Daphnia pulex: one gene and its partner. The protein of the gene in region 1 interacts with the protein of each later gene in a pairwise test. Links are inferred from orthologs where the notes say so. Each region holds a gene or a part of one and is shown in the gene's direction. Other genes may lie near its edges.

Evidence for each region.
Region 2: the proteins of GTPase Era, mitochondrial-like (region 1) and trimethyllysine dioxygenase, mitochondrial-like interact in a two-hybrid assay, tested with the Drosophila melanogaster proteins (2 studies listed by BioGRID). The link is inferred for Daphnia pulex from reciprocal best matches to the Drosophila melanogaster genes CG7488 and Tmlh.

What each region holds. Positions count from the first base shown.
Region 1 is NC_060021.1:6,372,633-6,377,321, forward strand, and holds GTPase Era, mitochondrial-like, read left to right. Parts: upstream 1-2,004; 5' UTR 2,005-2,109; coding exon 2,110-2,534; intron 2,535-2,610; coding exon 2,611-3,085; intron 3,086-3,145; coding exon 3,146-3,326; intron 3,327-3,387; coding exon 3,388-3,557; 3' UTR 3,558-3,584; downstream 3,585-4,689. Other genes in the region: LIM domain kinase 1-like, read right to left, coding at 1-158, 229-362, 416-530, 624-726, 1,119-1,137; uncharacterized protein LOC124193405, read right to left, coding at 3,754-4,418, 4,490-4,689.
Region 2 is NC_060024.1:8,487,033-8,492,719, reverse strand, and holds trimethyllysine dioxygenase, mitochondrial-like, read left to right. Parts: upstream 1-2,378; 5' UTR 2,379-2,705; exon of another isoform or gene 2,706-2,880; intron 2,881-2,939; exon of another isoform or gene 2,940-3,059; 5' UTR 3,060-3,061; coding exon 3,062-3,197; intron 3,198-3,540; coding exon 3,541-3,640; intron 3,641-3,751; coding exon 3,752-3,867; intron 3,868-3,952; coding exon 3,953-4,361; intron 4,362-4,448; coding exon 4,449-4,673; intron 4,674-4,741; coding exon 4,742-5,012; 3' UTR 5,013-5,073; downstream 5,074-5,687. Other genes in the region: U3 small nucleolar RNA-associated protein 18 homolog, read left to right, coding at 97-563, 633-828, 898-1,083, 1,153-1,350, 1,420-1,588, 1,647-1,844, 1,917-2,182.

The sequences.
Region 1 (4,689 bases):
TTACGTCATCTTGCAGGGCTAGTTTAATGTGATGGCGCTGGCCTTCTGGTATAGGACCCAAAGCCAAAAGCTGGATCGAGTGAGGTTTCCTAACTATACTGGGACCACCCGTCACTTTTTGACTAAGTGGCTGCATTTGCCTTTTGTAGCAAGACCCACTTAGGAAATAAAAATAACAAAGAAAATAAAAAATATGATGCATATGCAGAATAAGTTTGTGTTTCATACCAATAAAGTTTCGATCGCTCTACAAAAGCGTACGAATCGCCATCTCCAATAAAACAACGACAGGAACTACACTGAAAGCACTCTGGGTGAAATTTGTGGTCACCAGCAACCATGACAGGACCACCAGTTATCAACTAAACAATGACAGATAAGGTTATTGCTCCTGAACCCAAAAAATAGCAATTACCTGAGAACACTGTTGGCACGACTGTCCATATTTTGCCCAATAGTGCATTTGGCAGAATAAAATATCACCTTTCTCAAAGTACCAATCTGAGAGGGTTTCATCACACACAGAGCACCTACATTTGATAACAAATTGAGAATTAAGTATCTTGACAGATGCAAAGGGATTAAATAGCTGAAATTTTAACAGCTGTAAGACAAACATATACCTGAAACAGTCACTGTGCCACTCTTTATTTAGAGCTTCAATGTACTCATTATCATGGATATGATTAAGGCAGGCAGAGCAAACATTTTGTTTAGTCACATCGTCTATCAGAGAAAAACAAAACAAATCAAGTTAATTTAATAAAACAACACTCACACGATTATAAAACAATCTATAGTTCTACAGTCAAATCATGCATTCAACACATTTATCATATTTATTACTGTCTTAAGCTGTATTTCTAATCCAAATACTGATAAAGCATGAATCACGACAGCGTGCAAACAAAATTTACTGAATCAATGACACCTCCCTTAGTCCCTATCTTTACAAAAAACATATTTCACAATTATCATATTTGTTTTGGATTCAAATATGATAAAATTTGGGAAACTACTAAATTGCATCTCTACTTTTTAGATAAATCCATCAAAGATTAAGAGTCATCTTAAATAATACCGAGTGTTTCGAAACAGAAAACAGATTGATAACAAACCTCTAGTTTCCATGTTCATGAAGGAATCTCCATTCTCTAATGTAACATCTGTCGTGAATTCCAAATGTAACTCTCGGGATTCGGATTTGTGGGGAGATATAGTGCGGGAAATGGATGCGGATAGTTAATCACCCAATGGCCTTCGTCGGAACCCTATGATCCCATCCCTTGTTGCGCGCGCGAGTTTTTCTCTAGGACCGACCCGCTTTGAATGTTTTTAAATCTGTTTTATTCTATTTATTTAACTTGGAGAAGTATTTTGGACACGGAACATGGTTGACCACTAGTTACTCAAGAAGTCCAGATAACAGAAGGCAGACATTCAGATGAAGCATACAGTTATCTTAAATTATTCAGTATGATTAGCCGGCCTGTAAGGAGGAATTGCGTAATGTAACTGAATTATTTTGCTGGGGATTCCCATTTTTAGGGTGACAGTGCTGTTCAGGCGATGGAAATAGTAATGACAATAGAGTGACTTGATTAAATTCAAATTAAGATGTGCACTCATCGCGCTAATCATTATCATAATCACCTTTCGCGCATTTCAACAGTGTTCTAATTTAACAACTGCTATTTATTCTTATCAATTACGATATATCAACTTGCATGTTAGTTAGAAAAAGCGTATAAAAATTGTTGTTTGATTTCTAAGCTCTCCCTATCACTCTGAGAGGACAGCGCCATCTTATCGAATGGTGGACATTATGGACAACTTAGTTTGAGATAGAAGCATAGAACTTTCCGGAAAATCTAGAAGGTTATTTTATTTTTATATGTTCTACTTTTATGAGTATTTTAAATTAATGAGCACATTTTTCCCTATTAAAAAATAACAGAGTAGGTAGCGCAGTGTAGCCGACTCCCAAGTCCCAGTTCCAGTCGACTCAAGTTTCGAATTCCGTAAATTATAATTCCGCATTCACTTTCCCGTAAATTATACAGCCAAAGCCCAAAACATCAGCCAATCAGCTGTCATTGAAGTCGTCTGATGCACGTGGGTATAAATTGTGGTACAAAAATGTTGTGCCATTCACTAACACATCAATCAAAATGGTTTCGTGTGAATTCATCTTTAAGAGTGTTAACATTGAGATACTTTTCCCAAGAATCTCCATCACCGGGATTTCGTTCACCGTCACAGCGTATTCCGTCTACGCCGGCTATACAAAGTGAATTGGTTAGAACCCCATCTGAATATGTGAAAGGTTCCCGCGTATTGCAAGTTGCAATTCTTGGCATACCGAATGCCGGTAAAAGTACTCTAGTCAATCAACTTTCTGGATGGCAGACATGCTCAGTTTCCAAAAAAGTTCACACAACCAAAAAGATGTCGAAAACTGTGTTAATCAGAGATGAAACTCAAATTGTTTTCCTCGACACTCCAGGGCTGGTTCTACCTGCTGAAGCCAAACAGTAGGATATATTATTGTTAAATAACAATTATTCTTAAAATATTTGTATAATTAACATTAGAACATTTCCTTTTCAGGTTTAATCTTGATAAATCCTTTGTAATTGATCCTGAAGTTGCACTATCTAAAGCAAATTTACTTTTGGTCTTGCATGACATCAGTAACAAATGGACAAGAGGAAGTTTGAGTTCAAAAATCCTTAGACTTCTCCATCTCTATCCCGACAAAGAATCGGTTTTAGTATTGAATAAAATTGATTTATTAAAGGAAAAGCGCCTCCTTCTAGACTACACTAACAAATTGACGGAAGGCATAGTTGGTGGTAAATCAATAGCATCAAATACTGATCCACGAAAACGAAGAATGAGTCGGCAAAACAGTGACATGTCCACTGTCAATGAAAGCAACACAGAGTTATCGGAACCCACCAATTCACGAAGTATGTCAGAGAAGGAAGTGGCAAAAAGGATCGAAGGAAAGATGGGTTGGCCCAACTTTTCTCGTGTGTTTATGATATCTGCCATTGACGGAGACGGAGTTTCGGACATAGTGGTTCGTAATTATCGGTAGATTAAAATTTTAATTTTTTATACCCAAATTTCTTTCTCAAAGGAACATCTGTATGGAGCTGCTAAGCCAGGTCGGTGGATGTACAATTCTTCGGTAGTAACGGATCAAAACCCTCATGAAATGGCAATTGCCATAATAAGAGGTAAACTACTAGATATTCTGGATAAAGAATTGCCATATTCGATTAATACATCTGTTCGATACTGGGAAGAAGATTTATCAGGTAAATAAAAATAAAACTATTATAGAGGATTAGTTGTGGTACATTTTCATATACGGCATAGGTACCTTGAACATCGTGATGGCTTTAGATTGTCAGAAAAAATTCACTGCTAAAGTAGTTGTCGGCACTGGTGGTCGCACTGTAATTCAGCTCGCTAGAGAAGCAGAACAAGATTTGAGAAACATGTTCCGTCAAGAAGTTCGTCTTAAAATCGTTGTAGAACCGGCGTAAAGAAAAGTAATAAAAGAATGTATGTAATTCTTGGTCGTGTACAATTGACGTGTATTCAAAATTGGTGTTGTGTTCTTCTCACTTTCATGATGTCTTTACAGAACTAAAGCAGAAGACGTGTCTCTTCGATGGGGTAGGACAAAATCTCAAAAAGATATAATCTTAACAACCCTTGTTCAGGATTTTTCTTAATTTTTTAAATTATCTGTTGAGGAGGTGGTTGAGGTTGGAAAAACGGCTCATCAAACAGAGCTCGGTATTTGGGTCTCAATCTGCATTCAGGACAATAATAAGTTCCTTCGGGTGCTTCTGAAATGCCAACACACTCAAAGTGGAACCATTCATAGGGACAATCACTAGCGTCACAGCCAATCATTTGTGAAACTTCATCGTAAGGACATCGGCAATAGCAGTAAAGTCTGTCAGGATCTTCAAACGAAGGTACTGGATGTATGGGTGTTTTCATCACCTTCGCCGGAGAGAGTGGAGGCGGTGGAGGAATTGCGTCATAGTTGTGAGTAAATTTTAATTTCGCAGTCGTTCGCCCCGGCTTTTTCGAGATGGTTTTCACTTTTTTAGTTGAAGCGGCCGGGTTGATTTTTTCTTCCAAACTGTCACCCTCGTACCAGTAGAGATCGTCGTTCCGTTTACGCCGACCTCGTCCACGCTTAGAGTCGGATCTCTGCTCTACATTAACTGCCGGAGGTGGCGGTGCCATAGTGATCTCCTTTACAGGAAGTGGCATGATGTTTAACATCGGAATCGGCTCTTTTTTCCTCTTGAGAGACCGCTTGTAGAGACCGCTAGCCACCGCGTTGATGATGTCGTCGACTGTGTTGCCAGTTGAAGGCAACTGGTGATCTAAAATCCAAAAAAAGCGAATCGTTAATAGTCTATTTTCTTAAGTAAACGACTAATTAAAAACCAAATACCTTCCAAATTGAAGTTCAGTGACGATTCTTTCAAGGCTCGTCTCTTCTTTTTCTTCTTCTTTCGCTTCTTTTGAGAATCACTCCGAGCTTTAGGTGATGCAAACCTCGACCGCTTCTTGTTCTCCGAATCGGAATCACTTGTTTCTAGGTCCGATTCGTGCACACTGATATCGGCATCCGATTCGACCCCATTTTCGGAA
Region 2 (5,687 bases), on another chromosome or scaffold:
GAATTTAGTTCAAATTGAAAATTACAAGTTTAGAAGCACCCAAGCCATCAAGCACGTGTTTATTAAGGTGCAACAAACGAAGAAATAACACTTAAGATGGGACGCACATTTAAGAAAAAAAGTTCAAAACCGAAACCAGCAAAGAATGACGAGCAACTAAAAGTTGAGTCTACAGAGTTTCAGTTGGATCTTGGAGCCCTGGATGGATATGATTTACCAAATGTTGATGAAAATGAAGATCTTCATGAGGAGCCAAAAAGTAAGAAGTTGAAACAATCCAAACCTCAAGTCTTGGGCATTGACTATAGGGAAAGAGAAGAAAAGAGACTGGAAGAGTTGCTATTTGGGGAATTGTTTAAGAAACTGGAACAAGAACCCCAGTCTAAAAAAGATACGAGCAAAAGTTCTGCTTCAAAAAAAAAATTGAGAAAACAAATCTCCAACAAAGCATCTAGTGAAGCGAAAGATTCCCTTCCAGAAGATGTCTATGGTAAAAATCTAGGTTTAAGTTCAACAGCAGGAAGGCAAGCAGTCTGGGTTGATGAAGATGATGAAGATTTAAAGTAAGATATCACACTATTTATTTAAATAATTGTTTGTCATTTTATATTGATTTATTTGTATTCTAATAGGTGTAAAAATGTACAGTTTCAAAAAGAAAAGGGACTGGTTGGTGAAAAGGCCACTTCAGAAACTGTATACAAACAGGTCCTGGAGAAAAGGTTTGCATCTATTCATGGTCAGGTTACTCCTAAATGGGCTCAACTAGAGAATAAAAAGGGAAAAAAAGACCAGGACAGTGACGATGAAAAAGAGGATCTGACCAAAGTAAAACTTAAATTGTAACTGGAGTTGCATGATCTTCTTAATGATACTATTTTGTCACTTTATATCTAGACCGCCACAGATCTTTTAAGGAAGGATTCTATTTCTTTGCCGCAAGAAATAATTAAATTTTCGCGAATGTTAGATATCAATAAAGAAACTAGAGCAGAAGGACGGGTCATCAGTTCTGTCGAATTCCATAAAAAGCAAAGTGTTGCTCTTGTAGGAGGAAATTCTGGAGTACTTACACTTTTCCAGGTATTTTATATTACACTTGTCATATGCTATGTGAGTTACTTATAAGTAATTATTATTTTTTAAATTTAGGTTGGCGGATCTTTGAATGCTAAAATTCAGTCAATCACCTTCAAGGAATTTCCCATTCACAAGGCTCGCTTCTCGGCGAATGGGGAAGAAGTCATAGCTTCCTCGAGCGTGACAGGCAATATTCAAGTACATAACTTGGTGAATGGAAGGAACACAATCATTCCCCATAACAAGCAAATGGAAAAGGGATCGTACAAAGTAAAAATTTTTAATTTCTAATGTTGCAAGTCAAGTGTCTAAAAGTGTTTATTCGGTTGTATTTTACAGGACTTCGTTCTTTCACCCGACGGGAAGCTAATAGCTTATCAAGGTCAATATGGATATATTCATTTAATGAGCGCACGTTCTAAGGAATGGATTACATCTTTAAAAATGAATGGAGAAGTGCATGCCTTGACTTTTAACGTAGATGGCACTAGATTGTATAGTCATGGAGGTAAAAAAAAAAACTACTCGAATCATTCGAAATTTTAAATAATAATTTTTTCTCCCAGAAAATGGTGAAGTTTATGTGTGGGATATGAACGCTAAAGTGTGTGTCCATAAGTTCGTAGATGACGGGTGTATTAAGGGAACGTCTATTGCTATTTCACCTACACAGCAGTATCTCGCTTGTGGTTCTTCTTCTGGTGTTGTTAACTTGTACAACACTAGTCAGCTAGAAAATAATTCACTCCCGAAACCCGATAAAGGTAAATGCCTATTTCTCTTTGCCAAAATCTCTCCGTGAAATAATTTTTTTTTTTTTAATTATTATTTTGCAGTGATTCTGAATTTAGTGACGAAGATATCCGGCATTACCTTTCATCCAAGTTCTGAAATTGTATCCATATTTTCCTCCGAAAAAGAAAATGCCGTCAGACTGGCTCACTTTCCATCAATGACGGTCTTCAAGAATTTCCCAATCCAGAATAAGGGCACTGCTCGTATAAACACGATGGATTTCTCTCCCAATGGAGGCTACATGGCTGCGGGACTAAACAACGGGTCCGCTTATCTTTATCGACTACATCATTACGATCAATATTAAATAACATTACCTTTGATCCATGGATTGACAAAATATTACGGGGTTCAATTTTGACTTGAAGTATTGTTACCAGACTGAATGCCGTATCATTTTTTCCCATTAGATATTACTTAAACTTAAATTAACTGCTTAATTCTTATAAGCGAACTGGGACACTACAACCGTATTAAGCACATATTAGTCTTATAATTTCATATTCGCTTAGAAACTCACAGCATGATGAACAGAGGAGAAACAGAAGATTTACAACGAACCCCTTTAAATATTTAACAAGCATAGATAAAGCCTGATCACGCCCTGTAGTTGATTTTGTTGTTTAAACAAAAAAAATGTTTTTAAAAACTCTTGACAGTCTGACTATAGAGTGCCGACTGTGCAGTACGGATTCATTTGTAGAAGCGGCAAGTTTGCAACACATACAGAACAGGAATAGTAATTAGTAAATACCGCCATCTCATTTTCGTCTGCATATCCTGAACGTGAAAAAATTTGAAAGTGGATTAAAGTAAAAACCTTGTCAAAGGTATTTTCCCAAACTAAGTTTGTAGTTCTAGATAACCTTCTACAGCTATTAATCTACGTGTCCATTCAAGGGTATTAAGAAGTTATTGTATCACTTTTCATGCCTATCTGTGGGTAAAATACCTTCTGTGCGTCACATATTGTTGCGTTCTTTGCCCCCCTTCCAAGTTCCAAAGGTGAATTGCTTCTGATAATTTGTTTGGTTCTTTGACCAAATGTTTAATATCTTTATTAGGTCATTGAATAAAACTGCCATATAATCCAGATGTAGATACAGTGGCAGTGAACTTACAGTTTTAGTTGTAAGTGAACACCCAAGTAGAAACAAGCTATAACATTATTATTTGATGCTTAGAAATGAGTATCTTAAAATTCAAAACCATCCTGCCCAAATTGCCTTCTGGATTTTTAAAGAATACTTTACTGCCTACTAAAAGAGTCCCCTTGAAAATATTGTGCAAATATTCTTCTGGAAGTAACCTTCAGATTCAAGGTAGGTCTAGTATAGAACTATAGATTTAACAGTTCTTTTGTGAGATCCGGTCTTTATCTCACGACATAGCGGGACATTTTTATTGTAAGTTACACCCCAGAATGATCTTATACCTAAATCAGTAATTTTCGGTAATCGTCATCGCTATATGTTCATTTTCAATAGTGTAAAAAAATTTCTTTCAGTTATAAAATATTATTTGCTTTCTAAACTCATATTAAATACAGAATGATTAATAGAGTCAATTATTATTCGATGGAAATTTGTTTAGAGACTTTTTCGGATTTGTCTCATTTTTTAAATTATGGTTAACATAATAATCAACCAAGTTTTCAATTACTAGAAAACGAACATTATGACCGGCCAAAATTGCTGAATGTACATTTACCCAACACTAGCGCACCATTGAAGCTGCACCCCATCTGGCTTCGAGACCACTGTAGGTAAGTCATTATATAAAAATATCACATCCGGAGCATTTTTTCTATTTGAGCGGTCGGCAGCGCGCCAAAGGTGATGTGGAGCTTGTTCGATATATTTTCTCCTGTATGCAGGTGTCCAGAATGCTATAACGACGTTACCTGTCAAAGAAACAACGATATCCTGAAATTGAGTGATCAAATTGCGATATCAACTTATTCACAGAGCGACGGTTTATTGCACATTTGCTGTAAGTCCTCCCATTTAAGATAACTGCATAACAAGAAATTCAATAATTACAAATTTCTACTCTCCTATTTTGCTTTGTTTCATAGGGTCTGACGGGCATAAGTCATCTTATTCAATCCCGTGGCTTGTTAGCAATACTTACGACGGGAAGTACAAAGCACTACAAGAAGAGACGGACCGATTGACTACATGGGATGGAACTACCGTGAATTTATTGGGTTTAGAGCCCATTTCGCATCAACGCCTGATGAGTGATGATAAAATATTACGTGAAATATATCGCCGGGTCTTTCAGTACGGCTTCGTCAAAATAGAGCAAGTACCACCAACGAAACTTGACACCAGCGCGGTTATCGAGCGTATCTGCCGTATGTCCCACACGGTCTTTGGAAAGTTTTGGGAAACCGGTACCAATTTCGACCATAAGGATACGGGTTACCTGAACGGCTATTTAGAAGCCCATACAGACAACACTTATTTTACTGAAGCGCAAGGGTATGGATTTCCCTCTTTTCTTGTTGATTTAATTCTTATTTTTGAACTGAATTTATCCTTTTCTATCCTATCCGTTCATTGTTTTAGGCTTTTGGTTTTTCATTGTACTCATTTCAATGGGACGGGTTGCGAATCTTTCTTGGTAGACGGATTTCACGTGGCTAAGCAGTTAAAACAGCTTGATCCTTCTGCCTACGATTATTTGTCCAAAGTAAATATGGAAGCCGAGTATATTGAACCAGGTGAGCATTTCTCTTCTTGGGGTCCCATCTTCCGTCATCATCCAGTGAGCCATAAGTTGGAACAGATTCGGTAAGATACTTTTGTCTGAATAAAAAGGCGTTTCTATTTTAATTACAGTAAATTTATTCTTTATTCAGGTTCAACATGCTAGATCGGTCGCCTCTTTCTGGTATCCCACAAGAGGAAGTCGGTACCCATTATCGTTATCTAAAAACCATGGCGACGCTCGTAAAGAAAAAAGAAAACGAATATCGGTTTCGTCTCTCACCAGGAACCGTGATGATAATTGATAACTGGAGGCTCTTGCATGGGCGTGAAAGTTATCAGGGTGAAAGAGTATTGAGAGGTTGTTATTATTCCCGATCGGACTTTATGAGCAAAGCGCGACATTATGGAATAATATCTTGATTAAACTGCGCCACGATTAATTCGTCAATGCACAATAAAACAATACCATTTTCAAGACAAATTATTTGTTATTTTAAACCCGCATTTGGAAACGCATAGAAATTTTCGAATTTAATGTAAACTGAATATGATTACCGGAAAATAAATAATCATCAATTTAAAAAAAATTATAAAAGACTCGTCAGCTCCGCAAAAATAAAATGTGAATAAAACAATTTAATGTGTAGTAAAAAAAATTCATAAATGATATTACTGGCGTGGTCCAGTGGTTATGGTACCCGATCATCATGAGGTGGAAAGATTGGGATGGTTTCACCTGCGGCTCGTGGATACTAGTCAAACTAGCTAAATGAAGTACAGCATAAATAGAAATAAGTCTCTTAGTTCCCTCTTGGCTGAGCAACTATTTGAAAATGCAACAGTGCAATAATCGTAATCTGTTACGATATTGCATGCGCGGAAATCATTCCAATGACCAAAATTGATGGATCAATCCTCTATAAATTCTAAACTTTTTTTACAATGTAAATTTCACATTTTATTTCTCGTCAGCTCCGCTCTAGCCTTTAAAGTAAATGGCAACTCAGCAGGCATCGTATTCAACATGGCAGCTAACTAAAAACTGGCCCTGCCCACGAAAAGTTTTTCGAGGATTAAAATCGATAAAGACGAGTC